Arabidopsis thaliana: one gene and its partner. The protein of the gene in region 1 interacts with the protein of each later gene in a pairwise test. Each region holds a gene or a part of one and is shown in the gene's direction. Other genes may lie near its edges. The genes, in order: PRA7 and ACD11.

Region 1 (10,470 bases):
TGCTTGGAGAGATGAACTTTGAAGGGGCACAAGCTGCATTTGTAAGTGAAATTTGTCAGCAAGAAAGCACTTAACAGCAACTTTCTTACGAAGAAGTCTATAGTTTCAGAGAACCTTCTCTGTCTCTTTTGTTGACTATGTTGATACTACGTCAGTTTTTCGGGAATGCACTTTCCAAAGGATGTTGACGTGCATTACGGAAAACGATCTTCCTACCGAGTCTGGAGACAGGTATACTATCTCTCTAACAAAACTTTCCATATGAGGAAGTTTTGATTTTTTTATCTGGTTATATCGTCTAGAGGTTCGTTTTCGTTTTGGCATATAGATATTCATTTATGTTTGTGGTTTTTGCATATAGATACTTAGCTAAACACAGTCCCATTTTCTTCCTACTCTATGTCCGCATCATTAGTTTTGCCACTTAGATCTTGGATTCTCTGTAGAGCTTGCGACACTGGAGGTTGAAGAGTATTTGTGAGACTTGTCAAGATTTCACATTAGTATCTATAGAAAGACGATAATGTTGATGAAATGCTGGACTGATGGAGAAGTAGCTGTTCTTGAAGATGGTTCACTACGTTGGTTTCTGGAGTAGCACGGAAGCAAAGTTCTTTAGAGATTGGAAAGGATTATCTTACCCATGTTAATAAAGGCAAAGGTTTTGTAGATAAGAAATACATAGGATTAGCTCACTTTATCCTGGAGTTTACTGCTACTAACCTACTGCTGTGGGTTTAAGTTTTAAGTCTTTATATTGCTCTGAAGTTAGGTGTAGGTTTTACAAGGATGAAAGGTTGTATCGATTTAAATCTAGAGGAACTTAGTTTACTTCCCTCTTGCTTTTCCGAAGACTCTGAGAACTTTCCAGCTTAAGAGTGAGTTAGAAACGACTTACATCTTCAGAAATGTTTGCCCTCATGTGTTCTTATCAAGGACATATTGAATAGCATTGGACTGTAATCTCTGAGGATTAACAGAGTTGTTACTCCAGATCTAGAATTGAAGCGGTGCTGCAAAGATGCAAGTTTCCAGTAGTGTGAAGCTTCTTGGAACAGTACACGATGAAATAAGGGAGATTTGTTACTTAGCCATTAGATGAGCTTGGACACGGATAGGAAATGATTCTTCTTCAAGCTCCATTCCGGTTCACCTTTTAGACATTAGATGTAGAGATCCAGTCTGCTAAGTCACGTAGCATTGTATGCTTTGCATAAATATTAGCTGTTGAAAACTGCTCGTTTCATGTATATACAGGTTTTGATTATTCTTCTCCTTGTTACAGGCGACAAAGCTTGAAAAGACCATTCATCTACAAGTTGGAAACGACAAAGGGACCGGAATGGTTATAACAGAAACCAGTAAGTGTGTTAACCACTAAATACATCCTCTCATAATCAAACATTTATATGCGTATTTCATCATAATTAACAGGCTGAATGTTATTTATATATATGTATTGCAAGTTATGATCTAAGAATGATTCTGATTCGGACATTTTTTCAGGTGGTTAGAACAGGAGGAAACATCTTGGACCTCTTTCCTTTCACCAAGGTCTTGGTATCAGGAAAGCAACCGTCACCGACTTCCTCAACTGCACCATCTCCTGTCACACTAATTGGATAGGCGACCAAATGGATACCGAGCATGTCTACGACCTTGTCTCCACTGTAAATCTCCCACATTTGCTCTCCTATTGTCCGTAACCCTCGGACACATTCAAGACTCTCTGGCTCTGACGATGATAAGTCATCTGCCGTGATCTTGCCACCGGTATGCTCATACCAGAGCGATAACCGGTAAGCTTGGATTTCGTTGGTGTTGTTGGTATTGGTTTGGTAGCAACCTATTGCAATCTCGGTGTCCCGACAACCATCCATTGATCTCTGGTTTATATTGGCTGATCCTATCAAAATGTATGTGTCGTCCACTACAAACATATGACAATCTCTGTAATTTAAATCTTAAGTGAAAGTTTGTGAAAGTTTAACGAATCTTCAATATATTTTCATTTCAGATTGTGAATTGCGGATTGTTTGTTACCTATCATGAGCTTGGAGTGGACATAGACCATGAATCTCCGATTCCTCTGCGCATTCCAGTAATGCGTTTTCTGGTGGGGCGACGAAACTGCTTCAAACTCCCCATCTCTCTTCTCTTCTCTGTTTGCAAGACAGAAGAAGTTTAGATAATCCCTCGGATGCGACTTGTCTCCAACTTCCCATATCGCCTCTCCAATGATCTGATACATCATTGACATCGTCTCTCTCGTCCAATGAAGTATCTCTTCAACCGTTTCACTCTCCGGTGGCCCTTCCGGCCACATCGGTATGACTATATACACAGCAAATCTCTCCCTTGCACGTATCTTAGCAGCAATCTTTAACGCTATTTCGACAGGTATCAAGTTTGTGCATCCGCTGCAGATTCTATCCATCAAAAAAAGAAATACTAAAATAGATCAGAATCTCCCAATGGATATTTAATAGCTTCGTTAAGAGAAATTTCGTACTTATCGTTCTTGCTCTCCCAATGATCACAGCTTCCCATGAAATACTGATTCTCGATGTAGATAAACCTCTCAGCCTTTCGAATTGCTGCGACATAGCCATCGTGTACACTCTTCTCTACCGGCAAACCTCTTGGCATCTCTGTTGCCGATATGTGATCTATCGATCTCAGAACTTGAACATTCCATTTCCTGTTATTTTCCTCAGTAGGTCCGGTTAGGTTTACTAAGTTTCTGATCCCTGAAGTGTTAACCAACACGGAAGGGTTACACTGTTTCGTCCATCGCTGTTCGAAGTTCTTCAGGACATCCCAAGCCGCTCCTCCAACCACGGACACATGGCAATCATGCCATGGCTCTCTTGGTCCGCCTCTACTTAGCTTAGCTCCAGCTACACTTGTCTGGTAAAAATCAGCTTCTGTTCCGAGTGTACGAAACAGTGAATGCTCCTCAGTGTCATATCGACCATCGCAAAGGTCAAACCCGCCAAGGAAGCTCATGATCTCTCGCTCCTTCGTGCTTGAATTTGTCACCCGTGTATCCAGTGTTATTGTCTTTTGGTGGTGTGCAAACGCTGTAGGGAGCTTTTTGTGCAATCTTGGACACAATCTACAAACAACGTTTGTGTTTCTGAAGTAAGCAAGAGCTCTTTCGACGTTTGTTCTCATTACACCTTTGTTCTTGATCATTGGTAAAGACGTCTCGTCGTTCCACAACATTACTCTCACCGCTACACCTTCCTCTGATTTCCGTTTCAGAAGCTCGCCAACCGTTACTCCAACCGCATGTGGAATCTCAGTTTCGTTGTCGCGTACAAGAACAAGATTAGGGTTTAGTGCCCATCCTGCAATGTAAACCAAGTGCCTAGCACTTTCGATCGCTTTGTAAACATCTTCCCATAGATTCCTTGCATTAAAAGGAACATCATCAACCCTTGGATCAAATGTGGCCTTGTGGTGTGCATCTTGATACAGTACGACTCTGCAGTTCGATCTTTGAGGGAAGCTTGCGTTCCTAATACCTTGAAAAGACGCTTCTTCAAGCGCTCTGCACCATCCCGGTTCAAGATAAGCCGGTCTGAACCACATCAAACACTTAAGCTTCAAGTTACGTTTCGTTGACCCATTGTCTGCAATCAGAGGGAAGAACCCGTTGATAACTGCTGAATTAGATGTCAGGATCTGTTCTGCAGAGATTCGGAATCTTCCGAGAACAGAACATCGAGTCTTGAGCGTGATGGTGATAGTCGTGTCAGTAACCGGGTGAGCGCAGAGGATCTGAAAAGTCTGATTCCAAATACGGTCGTATTCTGAGCTTGTTTTAGCAACTTTCTTCTTGTTTATCTTGATGGTCACGTAAGCTGCTTTTGGCTTTGTACATATACACTGTGAACAAAGATAACAAAAGCTCATGAAAATGAACACAATGATAACATCATCAGAGTCACTAATTCAGTATATGATATAGACTTACATTGAAAGGAAATGGAGGAGAAAAAGGTGTTGCATCGAAGATTGTAATCTCTAGTGTTCCATGAAAGTACTTCTTCTGTTCTTCAAGCTCCATCTTCTCTTTATTCAAAATGTATCTTTAAGAGAATGAGAGATAATTTTCTGTGAATTGTCAAGTATGTGTTTGAAGCTGGTCAATTACAGAATGCACAAGGTTATGTCCATCCATATATGTATATGTATTTGTTAATGTTTTTGGTGAAACTTGTAGGATTCTCCATGGACAATCTTAAAGAAAACATTCAACCATATAGATGACAAAATCGAAGGTGAAGTGTCTTTGAATACAAATCAAGCATTCGACTTCGGTTTTTAAAAATAGGAATTTTAAAAAGCAAAGTGTTAGATGGTATTCAAACAAAAGGTTGGGACTAAAATGTGAAAGCATGAAAATATCTGGTGGAGTTTGTAAATATTTGTGGGGATAAGCCACGTGCAGCAACAAAGCGCTGCCAAAGAAACCACTCGGTCGCAGTTTCTTTGGTGAACTAATAATATGAAATTTTTATTCTGCCGGAAAAAAAAATTAATCCTTCTAATGAATAAAATTATGCTGTTTACAAGTAATTAATCAGATTTATGTTTTGAAAATGACAGAGAATATAATATGCTGTACATTTTCCTAAGAATATGTCTCTATGATGCTGACTGTTAAACACATATAATACCAATATTGTTACCATAAATGTACAGTTGCAAAACAAATAAAAAATTATTACAATATAAAGCATTTATGTATTTATTGGGCATGTAACAACTTTTATCCATATGTGACATTTACATTAGCACCATCACCTAATCCATAGGGACACTGAGCAATTTATAAATTATTACAACCAACAAAAAAAAAAGCTTCGTGTCTCTCTTCTCCAAAAATGACGAACTACGGGGCGATTCCGACGTCGTCTCATCCATCACCGGCGATAGATCTCGAATACATCTCACGCGCCAAACACCGTATAAAATCCGGTCTAGCTACGCGCCGCCCATGGAAATCAATGTTCGATTTCGAATCAATGACTCTCCCTCACGGTTTCTTCGACGCGATCTCGAGGATCAAAACGAATCTCGGCTATTTCAGAGCTAATTACGCCATCGGAGTTCTCTTCATCCTCTTCCTAAGCCTTCTATATCACCCAACCTCGTTGATCGTGTTATCAATCTTGGTCGTCTTCTGGATCTTTCTCTATTTCCTCCGTGACGAGCCTCTTGTTGTTTTTGGTTATCAGATTGATGATCGGACGGTTCTTATTGGTTTATCGGTTTTGACGGTTGTGATGCTTTTGTTGACTCACGCTACTTCGAATATTCTGGGATCTTTGTTAACCGCCGCCGTGTTGGTTCTGATTCATGCGGCGGTTAGAAGAAGTGATAATTTGTTTCTTGATGAAGAAGCTGCGGCGGTTACTGAAGCTTCAGGGCTGATGTCATACCCTTCGTCGTAAATCCAAAAATTTGTTTTTTTTTTTTGTATGTTACTGAGTTTGGTGCGATTTGAGAAAACTTGACATGTTCTTCTACTTTGTTCAATTTGTTGACAACAGTACAATTTTTGAGTATGTTTTGTTGGTTAATTACGTTATTACATGATTAGCACTACAAACACTAATCACTTTGGATAAAGCTACTAAAAAACCATAATTGTCAATTAAGAGGACTTTGATTTTACAAAATTCTTCTATTGATCCTACGCACTATACCAAAAGAAAGTGATCAGATTGGCTAGTTGAGCTTTTAGTTATGATCTCTGAGACCTTTCTCAGTGGATAGTCTTCCATTAAACCTCCCTGAGATTTCATTCATTAACATATCTCCTTCCAATAAACGCAACACCTTCAACAACAAGCAAAAGAGCAGACACACTTGAGAGAGTTTTATTGACTTAAAGAAATGAACATGTTTCAAGAATGGTGAATCTTTTCTTTACCTGAGACATGCGAGGACGCAAATGTGGATCTCTACGTATACACAATGAAGCTGTATGAATCATGCAAATGACTTGTGTTTCTGAATATCGCTTTTCGAGCCTCGGATCAACTAATTCCTCAACCGCATACTCTTCTAATAAAGATCTTGCCTGCTCACAAAGAAAATAAAATAACAAAATGAGCTTCAAGAAAGAAACTTTTAGATTTCATTTACAAGAAGAGACTGAAAATGAGCTAAGAAACCTTAAAAAGAAGAAACTTATGGATTTACCCATTCAGTTAAACATTGTTGTCCCTTTGGTCTGTAGATATCCATTGCTTTACGACCCGTGATTAGTTCGATCAATACAACCCCGAACGAGTAAACATCGGCTTTCTCTGTGATTTGTCCACTTTGAGCATACTCTGGAGCTAAATAGCTAAAACAAGAAACACAGAAAGTAGTTGAGAAATTACTCTAGAGTGAGAATGATGATTTAGTTATAAATTTTGTTACCCGAAAGTTCCTATCACACGCGTGTCTACACCTAGCTCTCCATCAGGCTGCCATCTTGCTAAACCAAAATCTCCAACCTGAAAGAGAAACAAAAACAGAATCAAACGAATGTATAAAAAAGTGTAAATTGTGGTTCAAGAAAATATAAATACCAGTGGTTCATAATCATGAGTAATTAGTATATTGTTAGGCCTCATGTCTCGGTGAACAATGCAACCTACTCTACACTCTTCATGAAGATATCGAAGACCTCGAGCCGCTCCAACCGCTATTTTTTGTCTTGCAGGCCATCCCAAAGTGTCCTTATGGCGACCTAAATGGACATTTCATGAAAGTTAGTTAGATAACTCTAGTTAAGTGTTTTTTAGGTTAACAACATCTTTAACTAACTTGGAAACTCTATTTACCGTATAGATGAGAGTCTAATGATCCATTGCATATGTATTCATAGACCAAGAGTCTTCTGGTATCTTCGATGCAGAAACCGATTAACATAACTACGTTTCGATGCTGAGCACAGCTCAAAACTTCTACTTCAGAGCAAAACTCTACATCTCCTTGTGTACTGGCCACTTTGTGTTGCTTTACTGCTACAATCTGGCCTTCAGGTAATACACCTCTATGAACAGATCCAAATCCACCTTCTGCCAAAAAATTAGCTCGCGAAAACCCGTTTGTTGCAAGCTCTAACTCTTTGTAGGAGAAAAACCTCGGTGGTTTTCCAAATACAGGCGCTTTGTGCTGGCATATAGAACAGAGAGGAGGTGAAACAGGAGGAGCATTTCGTGATAACGCTCTTAAGGTTCCACTATACTCCTCCAAGTCTTTCCTTTTACTTGACATAGCTGCTTCTTCTCCTTCATCAAGCTTAGAAATTTTCTCAAGCAAAGCCTTTTTAGTAGATACTTGAACAGCCTTATCATCGCCTCTCGTTGATTCCTGCATCGAGACGCAATGAGTGCTAAGATATTCTGATATCCATGGTTGGAATCTCTTACTTAAGGAAGGTAGTGATAGATTTTCGCTCTCTGAATCAGAATCAGATTCATTCTCTTTGACGACCAAAGTTTCATCCTTTCTCACTTCAGCTGTGAAAACTGGCGATGATGTACCGAGGTCAGAGCTAGATACTGATGAAGTCCAAGCTTCTGTTCCTGTGAATGATGTCTCAACCTCAGGACTGCTCATTGGAGTAGTTGTAACAACCGCTTTAACAGAATCTAACAACCTGTTTTTGTTTTTTTCAGATGCTAATTCTGGTTCCTTTGTTGAAGACCCGACCAAGTTCAACCGCAGGACTTTTGCCTCAGAACGCTTCATCGCCACAATGTTACATTGTAACTCATCTATGCACCGTTTCTCTTCATGCTTAAGGTGCCTGTAAAAGAAATATAATCATTCAACCACACAAAGAGAGTAAAAACTAAAGAACTGAAGAATAAAATCAGATTATTAACTTACTTATCAAGAACTACCCAATTTGCTTGAGATTTCTTGGCCTCAGCCGCAACAGCTCCACATGGTGATCCAGAAACAATCTTGATCCTGACATTAACCTTCAAAGAAACAAGCATGAGAATAACTCTAGATATTTCAGAATATCATTATTTTGATGGTGGACTAATTTTCAAACCTTGTTTGGATCATATACATCATGAAGCTGGAGAATCATTTGGGAACAAGTATCAGTGAGATCACTCTTTATCTCAGACATTGGATCAGAATGCAGTTTCCAATGACCAGTAGCACAATCTCCAGCAAACCTAGGGAAAGTCCATAGCTTTCGGCCTAACAAAAAGACCAAACAAAAGAAAGACAATGAATAAAACAGAGCAAACTAATCTCCATGATTGGATACCAAAGAAGAAGAAAGTACCAGCATTGTAAGAAGTAACAACAACAATCAGAGTAATGCAATCTCCAGGATGAACAATATGAGTCAAGGCCCAAACAAATGCTGTCTTTGAAATCTCCCTAGATGCTTTGACAGCAACAAGAACCTTCTCAGTCCCATTAGAACCTGATCTCTTCCCCTGTTTCTCTCTGCTCATTTAAGAGGACTTTTGCAAGAACAATTCTCTAGATTCCTCTTGATTTCTAAATGATCCTTGGAGATAAAGTAGCTTCTCGTAGAGATAGATTCTGTAGATATGATTGCATTATTATGGCAAGTTGGAAATCAAGACAAAATCAGACCAAACACACAATACTTTGTTTGCAGATGCATACAAAACTCAATAGACATGACAAGACCTCTCACTCACTGAATCACATAAACTTCAAAACAGAAAATACAAAACCCTGAAGTAAAAAATCCTACTTTTGAGATTCCCAACCAGCTATTGGGGGCAAACTCAATCCAAAAATCCCAAAGATCCAAAGAGATGCTTATCTCTCAAATCTATCCCTTTTTATTCAAATCACTGAGTCAATGTTTTTCAAGAAATAGAAAAGAGGAAATGATGGGCAACACGGTTCAAATGTCTCTGCTTGCTCAGAATCTACCAATCTCCAAAATCACACCTACAAATACAATAAGAGAATGAGATAAATGAGTTTTTGAAACGGAAACTGCCAAAATAAGTAGTACTCCTTTAAACTAGATTTTGCAGTTAGAGATTGATACATTAAATTAAACCCTTACTAAAAGACACAAAAATATAGTATTTTCTTATATTATCATCAATCAATCATGTGTACAACTGCATCACAAGGAGATTATTCAAATAAAGATTATGAAATTTCTCACCAAGATAAGCACTCATATATTTCACCGCCATGAAAATGAGCGAGATGTAAGGAAGAAGGGCACAAGTGTGAAACAGAACGTTTAGTAATTGTATGATCTTACATAACATGAAGCATAGATATGGCTATGTTTTGTCTGACTTGGAAGTTTTCAGCTTTAAACAACAAAAGCACGTTTATAGAGATAGAAACAAGACAGTGTATAAAAATGTAGAGAAGAAGCAGCATAAATGCTGGACTCATATACAAACAAGCAGAAAAGCGCGAAAATATGTGATAAAAAGCAGCTTTTTAGGGTTCTTGTTTTTTCTCAACACTGTGAAACCAAAAACCCTTTATTCACTGACCCTCTCTCTCTCTCTCTCTCTTTGTTACTACTATAGGTTAACATGAATGATCCAATGAGTTATGTAAAAAATAAAAAATCTTTCCAATCAAAAAAAGTTAATTTTGTATTTTACTCATTCCCAATGTTCCTTTGTTTCATGAGGTTGGAATTAAAATAATATTTAAGTGATTAAACCAGTTTTTAGACTGATAACAAAAATAATGTAACAATTTCAAATATCTCTGCCATCATAGTCGAGTTCTTTAACGTACCTTTTGTCCTTTCTTAAGTGTAAGCAAAACTTTCTTTCTTTTCTTCAACATGTAAGTAAAACTTTAGTTTGAATTTTTTTTTGTAACTTCTAGTAAGCTGAAACGATGTTGCATTAGCCAGTAATTAGTTTAAAGTTTAAACTAAACTAGACACAAACAAATTGGATGAAAAATAGTTCAAAATGGAGTATCTTGTTTTGTGTGTGTTAGGCATTGATAGAGTTTAAGACCTGTCACCATCACAAGGACCAATATAAGCTGCGTTTCTCCAACCAATCAATCACTCTCCGATTGTTAAATATTTACGGCTGTTATCAGTCCTCGTCTTGTCACACTTCTTGAGATGCTAAAATCAATGAAAACTTAATATTTTAAAAAATGTTAAGAAAATTAATCGAGTAGAAACGTAAACATTTTAGTGGCGGCTGTCAGCGGCTTGGGCAATGTGCTATGTGTATAAATGCGACAACGAATAACACAACGATTAAACTAATGTCTCGTGCTAATCACCGTATTTATTCAAAATCTTAAGGAAAAGACAAAATTTTAGTTTTGGAAGGATTATAAACCATCTACTAATTTATAAGAAATTAGAGTGATTAATACATTGTATCTGTGTGTGGCATTTAATTCAGAGTATATATTAGGGATGAAAGTTGACAAGTTTTACATCTACTC
Region 2 (11,743 bases), on another chromosome or scaffold:
TCTATTCACATAAAAGTTCAACTAGCAACTAGTACGAAAGGGATGAAAATGCTAATTTGATTAAACAGTCAACTTTCTAAGTGTGACCATTGGTAACAAATAAAAATCAAGGGAGAGTGAAAGGTTTTAGTTTTCATATGAAGATTGCACTACCATCAAGCTACAATGAAAGATTATACAACTCTGAGAGGCAGATACATACCTGCTGCAAGATCAGACTTGCAAAACTCCCAACCTTCTCTGAGGCAGAGAGCTGTTTGTGGAGGATAACGCTTGGCAATTGCCACTTCCTCACGAGAGAGATCTAAAGAAAAATTTTAAGGTTATCATGGACCACATAGACCTAGATAAATGCCAAGCTACATCCCAAGAAACAACTTCTGAATACTTTCTAATGTATCAGTAAAACACTTCATTCCTAAATCTTTTATATTTAATCATTGCGGTTATTATTTTTTAAAATACAGCCAGTATGTTAGTTGTGTTATTCCCACAATTCCAAGAAATCCAACCGTTCAGAAGTAGTTTCCATCCAGATTATCAAAAACAATTGATAAAGATAAAATCATTTGTGTTTATCTCCATTGATCTAACATCGCAAAATCTCCTACCTCTTCTAACATGCTATTGCTCAGATTTCACCATCAGAAAAATTCTTACTTGGAAGGCCATATGATGAATGAAAACTTAGACATGCTAGTCATCTTTCTCATGAAACGATCAGTCTTAAGCAAACTACAGCACTTCGTTCTACAAAAGAGTACCTCTGTCATTGAATTTCTTCAAGGTAGGACCTACGAGTAGTATGGATGCCGCTTCCAAGTGAGAAATCTTCAGCAATGGATTTTCCTCAACCCGCAGATGCTGTAAAAGGAAAAACACAATATGAAATTACAAACTACGTATTAGTATATATGTATTGAATTAATGGAACATTGTTTCTGTTATAACAGGGCCAAATGCCATTACCAAAAAATTAAGTACTCAAATTGGACCATTGGTTCAGAGGAGAGAATTTCCCATAAGTGGTGGTTTTTCAATCTTTTATACTAGGTAATCTCATGTCCCATAAGATGTTTTATTAAAGCAGTGCATGCGACAACCAATCAGCCAAATAAGAAATGTGTGAAAAAAATAAAAATTGGGAACATAAAGATTGAAACCTCAAGAACTGGTAGATACGGAAAGTCCTTCAGAGTTGTTATCTTGTTCTTACTTGCTGCTAGTACCTGAGAAAAAAAAATTTATAAGATCTCTAAAAAACTATGACTTGTAACAAGGTACTGAAAACAACCTCAATTCTGAAACAGAAAATCTACCTGAAGCCGGGGCTGGCTTGCCATTGCAAGTGACTTTAATTTATTTTGAGCAACCGAGAGAAACTACCATGGGAACAAGAAAGGTGATAGTTGGAAAAAGTAAGGGGCAATCCACAAGTATGTAAGTATGAAGACTTGATAGCAATTATTTGGCACAAAATTGGAACAAGAGGCTTTGTAATTTCTGATGCTCACCTCTAAGTTTGGAAGTTGAGGCAGACTAGCAAGTGAAGTTATCTGATTTCCAGCAAGATAAAGTTGCTGCCCAAGTAATATAAGATTTAAATGTTCATCAGATAGCACTCATGAAGGAAGAACCAAGGATAGAATGGGAGAGAAAGAAACCTGCAGCATTTTGCAATTCTCAAGTGGTTCAAATCCAGGCCCTTTGAAATCATTAAAACTCAAATCCAGAACCTGAGATTAATGATAGTAACAGAATCATAGCTAGTGTGAGCATATATATCTATTAAAAACCAAGAACCCCAGGAAAATGAATTTACTGACCTTGACTCGATTCAATATCTCAATACCTTCCAGCGTAGATAGGAGATTGTCTCTAAGATAGACAAACTGGAAAGAGTAGAAGTAGAGGAAATTAAAATAAGTTGAATACTCGCATAAATGAGGCGGCATATTTAGTGTCCAAAAGATTGTATTTGTCGTTCGGAGATTTTTAAAACTAGCAGCAGGAACTCACTAAGAAGATTCAAAGTTTTTCCTCGTGAGATGTAAATAACTAATCCTCCCTACTTCTATTCAAATCCACAATTGGCATATATGTACATAAACATCATTGTCACAAAGCATTGCACTAGAACACTGTGAAGTTACTATGGAAATATAAGTTTACCTCTAAGTTTGGTGATAAGTGTAAGCCACCAGAGGTTAGACTGCGAATCCTGTGGCCTCTAAGATCCAATCTCTTAAGCAATTACAGACATCCATTAATCAACAACCACAGAAAGGATTGAACCTATTGTATGAAAATCTAGCAAGTACAAAGAGAAAGTGAATTTGTACCATGTCATCGCCAGCTTTAACCTCCACCTTTGGAAGAATAATGAGTCGTGAATCACGGCTTTCAGGGGTAGATGTTTTCTTCCGTCCAGAGAAGTTGGAAGTCCGGTCTAGAGGTGACGAAAATGACTTTGATCTTATACTGCTAGAAACAGAAGGTGATGATCCCGCAGAGGGAGAAGAAACTTTAGAAACTGTCCTCCCACTTGTGAGAGTAGAGTGTAGTCTTCCACTACTAGTCCTGCTGCCACTACTGTCAACTGATGAAGATGGAGCTCTTTTCGAAGACACAGAAACACTCATGGCTGGTCTAGCAGAAGACTCAGGCTTACTTAAACTAAACCCAGTTGACTTTGTCAAACTCCGACTACCTGGTGATACGGGGACAGACTTTTTACTCTCGGAAAGGCTTGGTTTGGATACAGTCTTAGCAGAAAGAGAAGACACAGAGCTCTTCCTCAATTCTGGAAGTGATCGTCTTACCGGATCAGTACGTGAGGCAGTAGTACTCACTTGCTTAGGCAGAACCTTAGAGGTACCAGCTAAATTCTCTGTTACTCCTCCAGTACTATTTCTCCTGATAGTCACAGGCGTAGTACCCGAGACCCGTAATGAAGAAGACGCAGTTGGCTTTATTAAATTCGAACTAATAACTGGTTTCTTTTTAGTAGAAGCAGCTCGATTTGACACCACAGACACTGCAGAAACACTCTCTGGGCTTCTGCTTTCATTAGCTATAGTTGCATTGTCCTCTTTCACTGCATCTACATTGGTTTCCACAGTTTCTTCCTCAACCTTAGCTGCTACTTCCTCCATAGTGAAATCAATCCAAACTTATGCAGATACAAAAGAAACTCAAATCAGAAGAGACGCATGATCAAATCATTAACAAAAAAAAGGAAACTTTATTCATTATACACAATCTCTCTACTTTATTTGTTGTATCCAAATTTCTCCGAAGTAAAAATACAGAATCAAATGACCAAGTGGCCCACGCACATTGTTTGGAATGGAACGCGCATGTAACAATTACTCTACTTTATTGGGTCCGGTCATAACAGGATTTACTAATAAAAAAAGTACGGACTTTAGTAGATTGTCTAAATTCAAGAACACAGACAAACAGAGTTTCTGGCTTCTTTCAGCTAACACTGTCGGTTACCTTCTACGATTTTTTGGTCCTTTTGTGAACAACCAATCCGCATTAAGCAGTGTTTATTTTTGAAAAAAATGTGAAATTCTTGTGAGTGAAACAAGCAGACGAAATTGCAGAAAGTGAGAGTTTTTAGCAATGAAGAAATTCGGGGAAAATAAAGTTTCTTCATTTAAGGAAATAAACCAATAGTAAGACAGGACAAGGAAAATAAATACTTACTGCACTGAACAATGAAGTAACCAGTAAAATCAAAAACCCATTTTCACCGTTTCACAATAACTCCGGTGGCGAGAATCCCGGCGACGATTCCGGCCGTTGAGAACTTGTTAAACAGAGCAATAGAGGCTGAAACAGAGAAATGTAGATCTGGATGAAGCAGAGAATAAAAAACGCAGCTCACTGATTGAAGCTTTTTTGAATGGAATCGAACAAAAGTGAAAACGACGATTAAAAATTGAGGGAAAATAGCTGGAGAGAGAGATGTTGGCGAAAGAAAAAGAAAAAAAAGTAAGGAACAGTGTAAACAGTGTGTAGCGGAAGAGTGTGTTGTGTAATATGTTTAACCCAAAATATACACCCCTATATTATACTTTAATTTATGTTTTTCACCCTCTTATTTTTTAAAGTTCCATGCAAGTACCTTACATTTAAAATTATCATGCGATGTCGGAAACTCAATTTTGTTTCTAAGTTTACCCGGTGAAAATGATAAAACGGTTATAAAAGTATGAGACAGTTGTGGATAATTATAGTAGTATAGGGACTATAATGAAAAGTAATTATCCAGAAGAAAAGAGAGGAACATTATAAAAAGAGAATAAATTAGAGAATTTGATGGTGAGAGAGAAAAGTTTGAAAATTTAGAGAATTTTAAATTGGCGGAAACCGTAAAGGCAGAGTTAAATGGCAAGTGGACGTTTTTCGAAAACTGATGAAATTGTTTTTATTTATTTAACCAACGATAAAATGATGTGCTCAAAAAGTCAAGAAAACAGATTCCTTTTTAAAAAAATTTAAATTTTTTGTGTTCTACTTATCCTAAATTATTACTCATAAAAATCTTCAATTAATTTTAAAATAAGCTCCACCTAAGAATCAATTAATGTCACTATCTTTTATAAGTAATCAAAATAATTGCATCCGCCATTCCTTCTACCCAATAATTATTAGTATAACCCACTAAATATTATTATCCCCTACCTATAATTTTGGTACCTTGTTTTAATCAATGAAAAGAATCGAAAAACAAAAATATGTATAGCCAGAGTGGAACATAAATGAAAGTTTGAAAAAAATCACATTTGTTGATGATGATAATCTTTTTAACTAAAGTATCCCAATGAAAGCTTCATATCTTAATTCTTGAACATTATTCATAATTCATCATCATCATCATCTTTTCTTCAAGTAGCTTCAACACAAGTCTATTGCCCAACTACTATCTATAGTTTAAGCATACGTATTTATGTTTCTTCGGTTCAATTGCACAAAACCGAATTTGGTTCGGATTCAATTCTATTATTTCGGTATTCCTACAGGTTATTTCGGTTGGATTCGGTTATTCATTCACACGGTGAGGATAATACTATCCAGATGAAGGATAGGAATGATCTGAACGCCAAACAAAGACAATTAGTGATCAGCGAATCGCCGCCTTTTTGAGTCGTCTTGCAGCAAAGTAGATTCCGCGGCAAATCACAGAACACCAATCGGAATAATCACACAAGAACAAAACTTGTTAATCAGGAGAAGACGACAGAGAGAGAGAAGGAGAGAGATCTTCCATGGCGGATTCGGAAGCAGATAAGCCACTGAGAAAAATCTCAGCCGCTTTCAAAAAACTAGCAATCATCGTGAATTCACCGAATCCGGAAGTTCCTGTAACGCAATTCTCTCACGCTTGCTCTCTGGTCTCGCCTCTCTTTGGTTGCCTTGGAATAGCTTTTAAGTTTGCGGAAATGGACTATGTTGCCAAGGTTTGTTTATGTAGTAGATTTGAATCAAAGTCCGAATCTTTTTCTAGTTGTGTTCACTTTCATGTACTATTGAGTATATTGTGAGATGTTGGAATTGATTTAGTTTCTGTAGTACTCAGACTGAATTTTGCTAATTTGATGGAAATGGATGTTGTGTTTGTTTATCTGGAGGATGAATGTTTTGGAAAATGAAATGTTAAAACTTGTGAATGTGACTATAGGTTGATGATCTTGTGAGGGCGTCGAGTTCGATATCGACATTAGTGGTAATGATGGACAAAGATATTGAGGCAGATTGTGTAAGGAAAGCTGGTAGTCATACGAGAAACCTTTTGAGGGTTAAGCGTGGTCTTGACATGGTCAAAGTTCTCTTTGAACAGATCATAGCTTCCGAGTAAGTGATTCTTCTGAACTCTCTCTTATTTGAGTTCTTGTGAAAATTTTGATCAAATGCATTAGCCGTGCCAGTTTGTAGGATGTGTGATTTAAATATGGACACTGAAGTAAATGAAAAAATGGAGTCCTGTTGTAGTTTTCTTTTATTTTTGGTCAAGATTAGAAGATTGAAATGTAGTTTGATATCTTTTGCAGAGGAGATAACTCCTTGAAGGATCCAGCAACTAAGTCTTATGCTCAAGTGTTTGCTCCCCACCATGGATGGGCTATACGGAAAGCTGTTTCTCTTGGGATGTATGCTCTTCCCACAAGGGCTCACCTACTTAATATGCTCAAAGAGGATGGTGAGTTCATCAACTAGTTAATATGCTCAAAGTGGATGGTGTGTTTGATAAACTAGTAGTTTAAGTAGTCAGATTAGTTTCAAGGTCTTCACAGGATTAGGTAGATATCACGGCAATATTTGGCCTGTATAAGTCCTGGTATCATAAGAGAGAACTCTTTGAGATTCACATTGGTTTTAAGTTCATTTGGCAGTAGGATATTAGATTTTGAATTTTCCAATACTATCTCTGTTTGAGATTTCATAAATCGAGTTTCTTCTTCATTATGTTCGCTGACGATATTGTTTTTTTCATTTATTTATGAATGTTGTTACAGAGGCGGCGGCTAAGATACATATGCAAAGCTATGTCAATTCATCGGCACCATTAATCACGTATCTTGATAATCTATTCCTCTCCAAGCAACTCGGTATTGATTGGTGAAGAGCCTGAAAAAAAGGCATAACTATTGTTACTCTTTAGACAAAATAACCTATGTTCTCACATCAAGCTATGTAATGTCATAACAACAGCGACGAAATACATTGGAATAAATTGAGTATGTCCTTAATCTGTCGTTTTATCTCTTCTTTTAATAAACACAGTTTATCTCATAGTAAGCAGAAGAAGCTTTACACGGGTTGTAGGAACGTATTAAACGGTTTGTTTCAATTTCACTCTCTTTGGTTTTGAAATTCTAGTATAAACCAAAGTAGTTGGTGCTTCAAGTTGTGTTACTTATTCAACAAAAAAATATATTATTTTTAATTTTTAATTTTCGTAGGTAAGATTACATAGTAACAAAATGTTAAATTTAACAATGTAAGATTACTATGTAAATGCATGGGCACCAGTAATCACGTATCTTGATGATATATATCCCTAATCCAAGCGAGTCGGCATTTATTGGTGAAGAATCTCAAGACTCATAGTCATCGCTAGTTAACAATCTTTTTCGGACAAAAGCGTCTTCGTTAAAATTCGGCATTATTAACCTTTTTGCCCTTTTAAAATCAGAAAATTTCTGTTTTACTGGTATTTTTCTTTGACGATTCAATTTTTTAGTTGTATTATATATATGAAAGAAGCTTAACTCTCTCTCACAGCTTGATATGTCAGTATCTAAAACAAGCAATACATAATTTAATTAATTTATCATAAAATATTTATGATTAAAAAGTAAAGAAGATAAATATTAAAAAGCTAAATGTCTCTTATAATTTAAAAATAAAAATTAAAAAGGATTGAAAAGTAAAGAAGATAAATATAAAGAAACTATTAGTATCTTATAAATAAATAAATAAACTAAAAATTGAAATATAATTATTTTAGTTTTGAATTAAGAAAATATTAAATATAAAAAAAATTAAACATAAAGAAACTATATATATCTTGTAATTAAAAAATTAAAAAAAAATGAAAAATGAGAAAAAAAATATAAACTCTTCATCATATAATTAATGAAATTTAAAAACTTATTGCTTTTAATTTTTTGTACAATAATTAAGGAAATTTAGAAATTAATTATTAATTTTAGAAGAAAAATGTTAAAATAGTTTAATAGTTTTGATTCACTAAATACATGTGTACATATATGATGGTATGAGGATCAAGAAAGTGCCGTAAAATGTAAAACTTCCAATGTTCCTTAGTGAAAAATGTTAACTTTTCTGTTGACAAGACGTGTATATAAACATCACCTATACCGGAGAAGAAGAAGACACAAAACAAAGTTAAAAAGAAGAAATTTTTGGTGCAGTGAATTCGAAGAGCAATATGAAGAATATTGGTTACATTATTATAGCCACCTTGCTTGTTGGTCTCCTCCTCATCATGGCTCTAGTGGCGAGTTTCTATTGGGCCAAACGACATGTCAAATGTTGTGGCGGAGAGGGACTGTCGTCAAAGGATGTGTTCAATTTACTTATACAATTGGTTGCTTTTATTCTGCTTTGTGGTTTATTTGCTTATTTGGTATTTTTGGTTTAGATTAGTAACCTAAAGCCATAGCAGATCGATAATGCGACTCTGCAAAATTTTCTCTTTATACCGCTGCTTGATAATTAAGTTTTGTTTAATTTAATGATATTGTACCTCTATTCTTGATATTTCAATGATTTTGTTATACATTACAAATTTGCAATGTTATTGTTACATGTTACTTCTATATATATATATATAGAGAACCGAAACGAAAGCAATACAGATACTATGCAAATATATAGTAGAGATAGCAAAATCAACAAATAAAAACATGTAAGAAGAGACATGAGTTCATGAAAAGAATTAAAAATCACATAATTAACAGATGTACCAAGCCTGCCTAGAGTTCAAGACATGTCAACAAATTTGTTAGCTTCTTCTTCAGATCTAGCGTTCGATAGGAATAAACTTCTGAATGCTGTTGCCACACCTCTAATAATCATATCTCGATGGCTTATGTCATAAGTGTCCACAGGATGAAGTATGAGTGATGTGTGGAAACTGCGGTGTTGACCATAACATCAAGAAACCAACCTATATCAGCCCATCTTGGCATTATCTCTGATGGGATGATTTCGTTAGTTGGCTGAACTACACAGCAAATAAACCGGACTATGTCGATCAAACTTCTTCAAGAACCATATCTGATGCCGTTTCTGGCTTCCCAAATTTCACATTTTCAAGCAAAAACCTTATTTGGGTTTCCATCTCATGAATGATCCGGAGAAGGAAGTACCTACTTGAAGTTTTCAACTGATAAAACTGTGAAATGTCAGAGCAATGGTTTGAGACCATATCAACCCCACAAATAGTACTAATTACTACAAACATGCACACTAACGATCTTATAATGTCAAAACACACAAATTTCAAATGGAAACGTACCAAGAAAACAAACAAGACAGAACATTAAAATCACTAGTGATCATCATTATAACAATCAAGCACACACCAAATACATAAAACGAAAGTATAGTCTTCAAAGAGCACAGGCAGGCTCAAACGCGAAGGGACCAACAGAGAAGAGAACGTAGTCGTGTTCACCGATGTTGATTGTCTTAGAAGGCTTAAGCATAGCACCGGTTATTCCATTGTTGAGCTTTGACGGCACGGTGCATGTCATCGTTGCAGTCGTGGGTCCAGGATTCGTAGGCCAAGCCCGGCACGTGTGGAAAGCGTAGGTGGTGAGTTTTTTTGGGGCTAGCATGAAGAAGTATCCGTTTTTGTCTGTTTTTGTCTCCATTGTCACACCTCTCTTTGTGTTGTTGCATGCAAGCTTTACGGTCGCTCCTATCATTGAAAATAACGAAAAGATTTACTTGATGCATGAAAGCCAAGTGGCGTGAGAGACTCGACGAATGCGAAATGCACAAGTACCATGCATATTGTAACATTTTTTTTCATATGTGTAAATTTTTTAAAATACAGTTTTAAGTTTTCTAATAATTTGTCGTTTGGTTTGAAAAGAAGAGAACATGCATGCAACACTATAAAAATACAAATACCACTATAAGTGGAATTTACCTTAAGCATATCAGTGCTTATTTGAGTCACACTAATTTTTGGATTAAAATCGTTAATTCAAGTTCCTTCATTCAGAAATATGTCTACCATGCATCGTTAGCTATAATGAGACTTCCTAAACTCAAGACTATTTTTTGGGGGCAAACACTACTTCATCTCATATTTTGTAGCCATCAAGTGGATAGAACATATCTAATATCTTCTGCGAGACCGTATAATGCATGCATACATGCTTTAAACACCGAAACTAATTCAAGAATCAAAATGTAACTTGCTACATGAGTTAATATGAAGACTAAATTTCATGGAATTAATTAAAAAAAATTGCGGTAAATTATGATGTTATGGATCTAGGAGATTACATGGTAACTAATTTTATTTTTTTTTGCTAATAATATAAATATTTTATTGAAAGATGAAAAAGGTTTAAGACATACAATTAAGTAAATCCTACAATTTTGGTCCCATGGCAAAAAAAAGGATAAAAACATGGTAACTAAATTTTTTGAAAGAGATTGGACGTTATAATGTAACGGACCTTGAAGAGGAGATGCTTCCAAGAGAGTATCGACGCCGGAATACTTGCATGACTTGCAATAAACCATGCCTTCAACTGCCACAAGTCTCCTGCTCATCTTAGCCGGCGATGACGGTGGAGTCATTGGAGAAGCGGATGAAACTGCATTGGTGTAGATGAAAGTCAAGGAAATAGAAAGGAGTAAGAGATATTTGAGAGCTTTTGTTACCAGACCCATTTTTGTTCTTTGTTAGTGAAAAAGATAGACAAATGAGATTGTCTCATTAAAGGCCATATTTAAAGCACTAGCCAAAGCCAAGGCATAGTTCTCACCAAAAAAAAATAAGTGATAAATAATAATATCCGTTTCTCACATAATTATAAGAAAATAGATTTATGCTCCTTTTTAGTTTTTAAAAGAGTTTAATTAGTTTGTTTTGTTTGTGTATTATTCTGTGGAAATATTATATATATATATATATATATCTAACTCTACAATACCATCAAGGCATCAATATCACATGATATATGTATTATAACTTATGTTCCCTCTTAACGAAAGAATACCATTAATATATGATATATCATAATTATTATTTTCTTAAAACATCATTTAAAATGGAACGGAAGAGTAGTTTAGATATTATAGTTTCGACTTCTGATTTTTGTTATGATATTTTGTACAGATAAACAAACTATTCAAGTCATTCATTAAAATAAAAAAAAAACAACTCAATAACATACTATTGCTTAATAATGCTCCTTCATATATAGTAATACTATTGTCAATGGATTGTGCAAGCCAAAGACATGACCTTAAAGTTTTCTTATGGTGATAGAGCCATGGAGGGAAGAGGCTATAAATTAATTAAAGTAGTTGGTGCTTCAAGTTGTGTTAATGATATAGTCCCATCATGACAAGTTGTGTTACTTATTCAACAAAAAAATATAATATTTTTAATTTTTAATTTTCTTAGGTAAGATTACCTAGTGACAAAATGTTAAATTTAACAATGTAAAGTTACTATGTAAATGCATGGGCACCAGTAATCACGTATCTTGATGAAATATATCCCTAATCCAAGCGAGTCGGCATTTATTGGTGAAGAATCTCAAGCCTCATAGTCATCGCTAGTTAACAATCTTTTTTGGACAAAATAGCCTCCGTTAAAATTCGGCATTACTAACCTTTTTGCACTTTTAAAATCAGAAAATTTCTGTTTTAAAGGTATTTTTCTTTGACGATTCAAATTTTTAGTTGTATTATATATATGAAAGGAGCTTAACTCTTTCTCACAGCTTGATACGTTAGCATCTAATAGCTTGCCACCTAGACTTCATAAAACAACCAATACATAATTTAATTAATTTATCATAAAATATTTATGATTAAAAAGTAAAGAAGATAAATATTAAAAAGTTATGTCTCTTATAATTTGAAAAATAAAAATTAAAAAGGATTGAAAAGTAAAGACGATAAATATAAAGAAACTATTAGTATCTTATAAATAAATAAATAAACTAAAAAT

Evidence for each region.
Region 2: the proteins of PRA7 (region 1) and ACD11 interact in a two-hybrid assay, tested with the Arabidopsis thaliana proteins (one study listed by BioGRID).

Annotation. Positions count from the first base shown.
Region 1 is NC_003070.9:20,583,555-20,594,024, forward strand, and holds PRA7 (PRA1 (Prenylated rab acceptor) family protein), read left to right. Parts: upstream 1-4,842; 5' UTR 4,843-4,895; coding exon 4,896-5,465; 3' UTR 5,466-5,645; downstream 5,646-10,470. Other genes in the region: AT1G55175 (uncharacterized protein), read left to right, coding at 156-231, 505-581, 743-876; PLDEPSILON (phospholipase D alpha 4), read right to left, coding at 1,503-1,930, 2,044-2,429, 2,513-3,894, 3,983-4,075; AT1G55200 (kinase with adenine nucleotide alpha hydrolases-like domain-containing protein), read right to left, coding at 5,755-5,853, 5,948-6,097, 6,220-6,367, 6,445-6,521, 6,597-6,757, 6,852-7,822, 7,906-8,000, 8,078-8,232 and 1 more.
Region 2 is NC_003071.7:14,625,146-14,636,888, forward strand, and holds ACD11 (Glycolipid transfer protein (GLTP) family protein), read left to right. Parts: upstream 1-4,840; 5' UTR 4,841-5,279; coding exon 5,280-5,471; intron 5,472-5,692; coding exon 5,693-5,865; intron 5,866-6,062; coding exon 6,063-6,211; intron 6,212-6,527; coding exon 6,528-6,634; 3' UTR 6,635-6,937; downstream 6,938-11,743. Other genes in the region: AIR9 (Outer arm dynein light chain 1 protein), read right to left, coding at 203-304, 765-864, 1,164-1,229, 1,320-1,382, 1,515-1,580, 1,665-1,736, 1,827-1,892, 2,173-2,244 and 2 more; AT2G34700 (Pollen Ole e 1 allergen and extensin family protein), read right to left, coding at 9,153-9,463, 10,236-10,452. UniProt on the Arabidopsis thaliana protein: Exhibits selective intermembrane transfer of ceramide-1-phosphate (C1P) and phytoceramide-1-phosphate. Does not transport ceramide (Cer) or GalCer, suggesting a requirement for phosphate in the headgroup for functionality.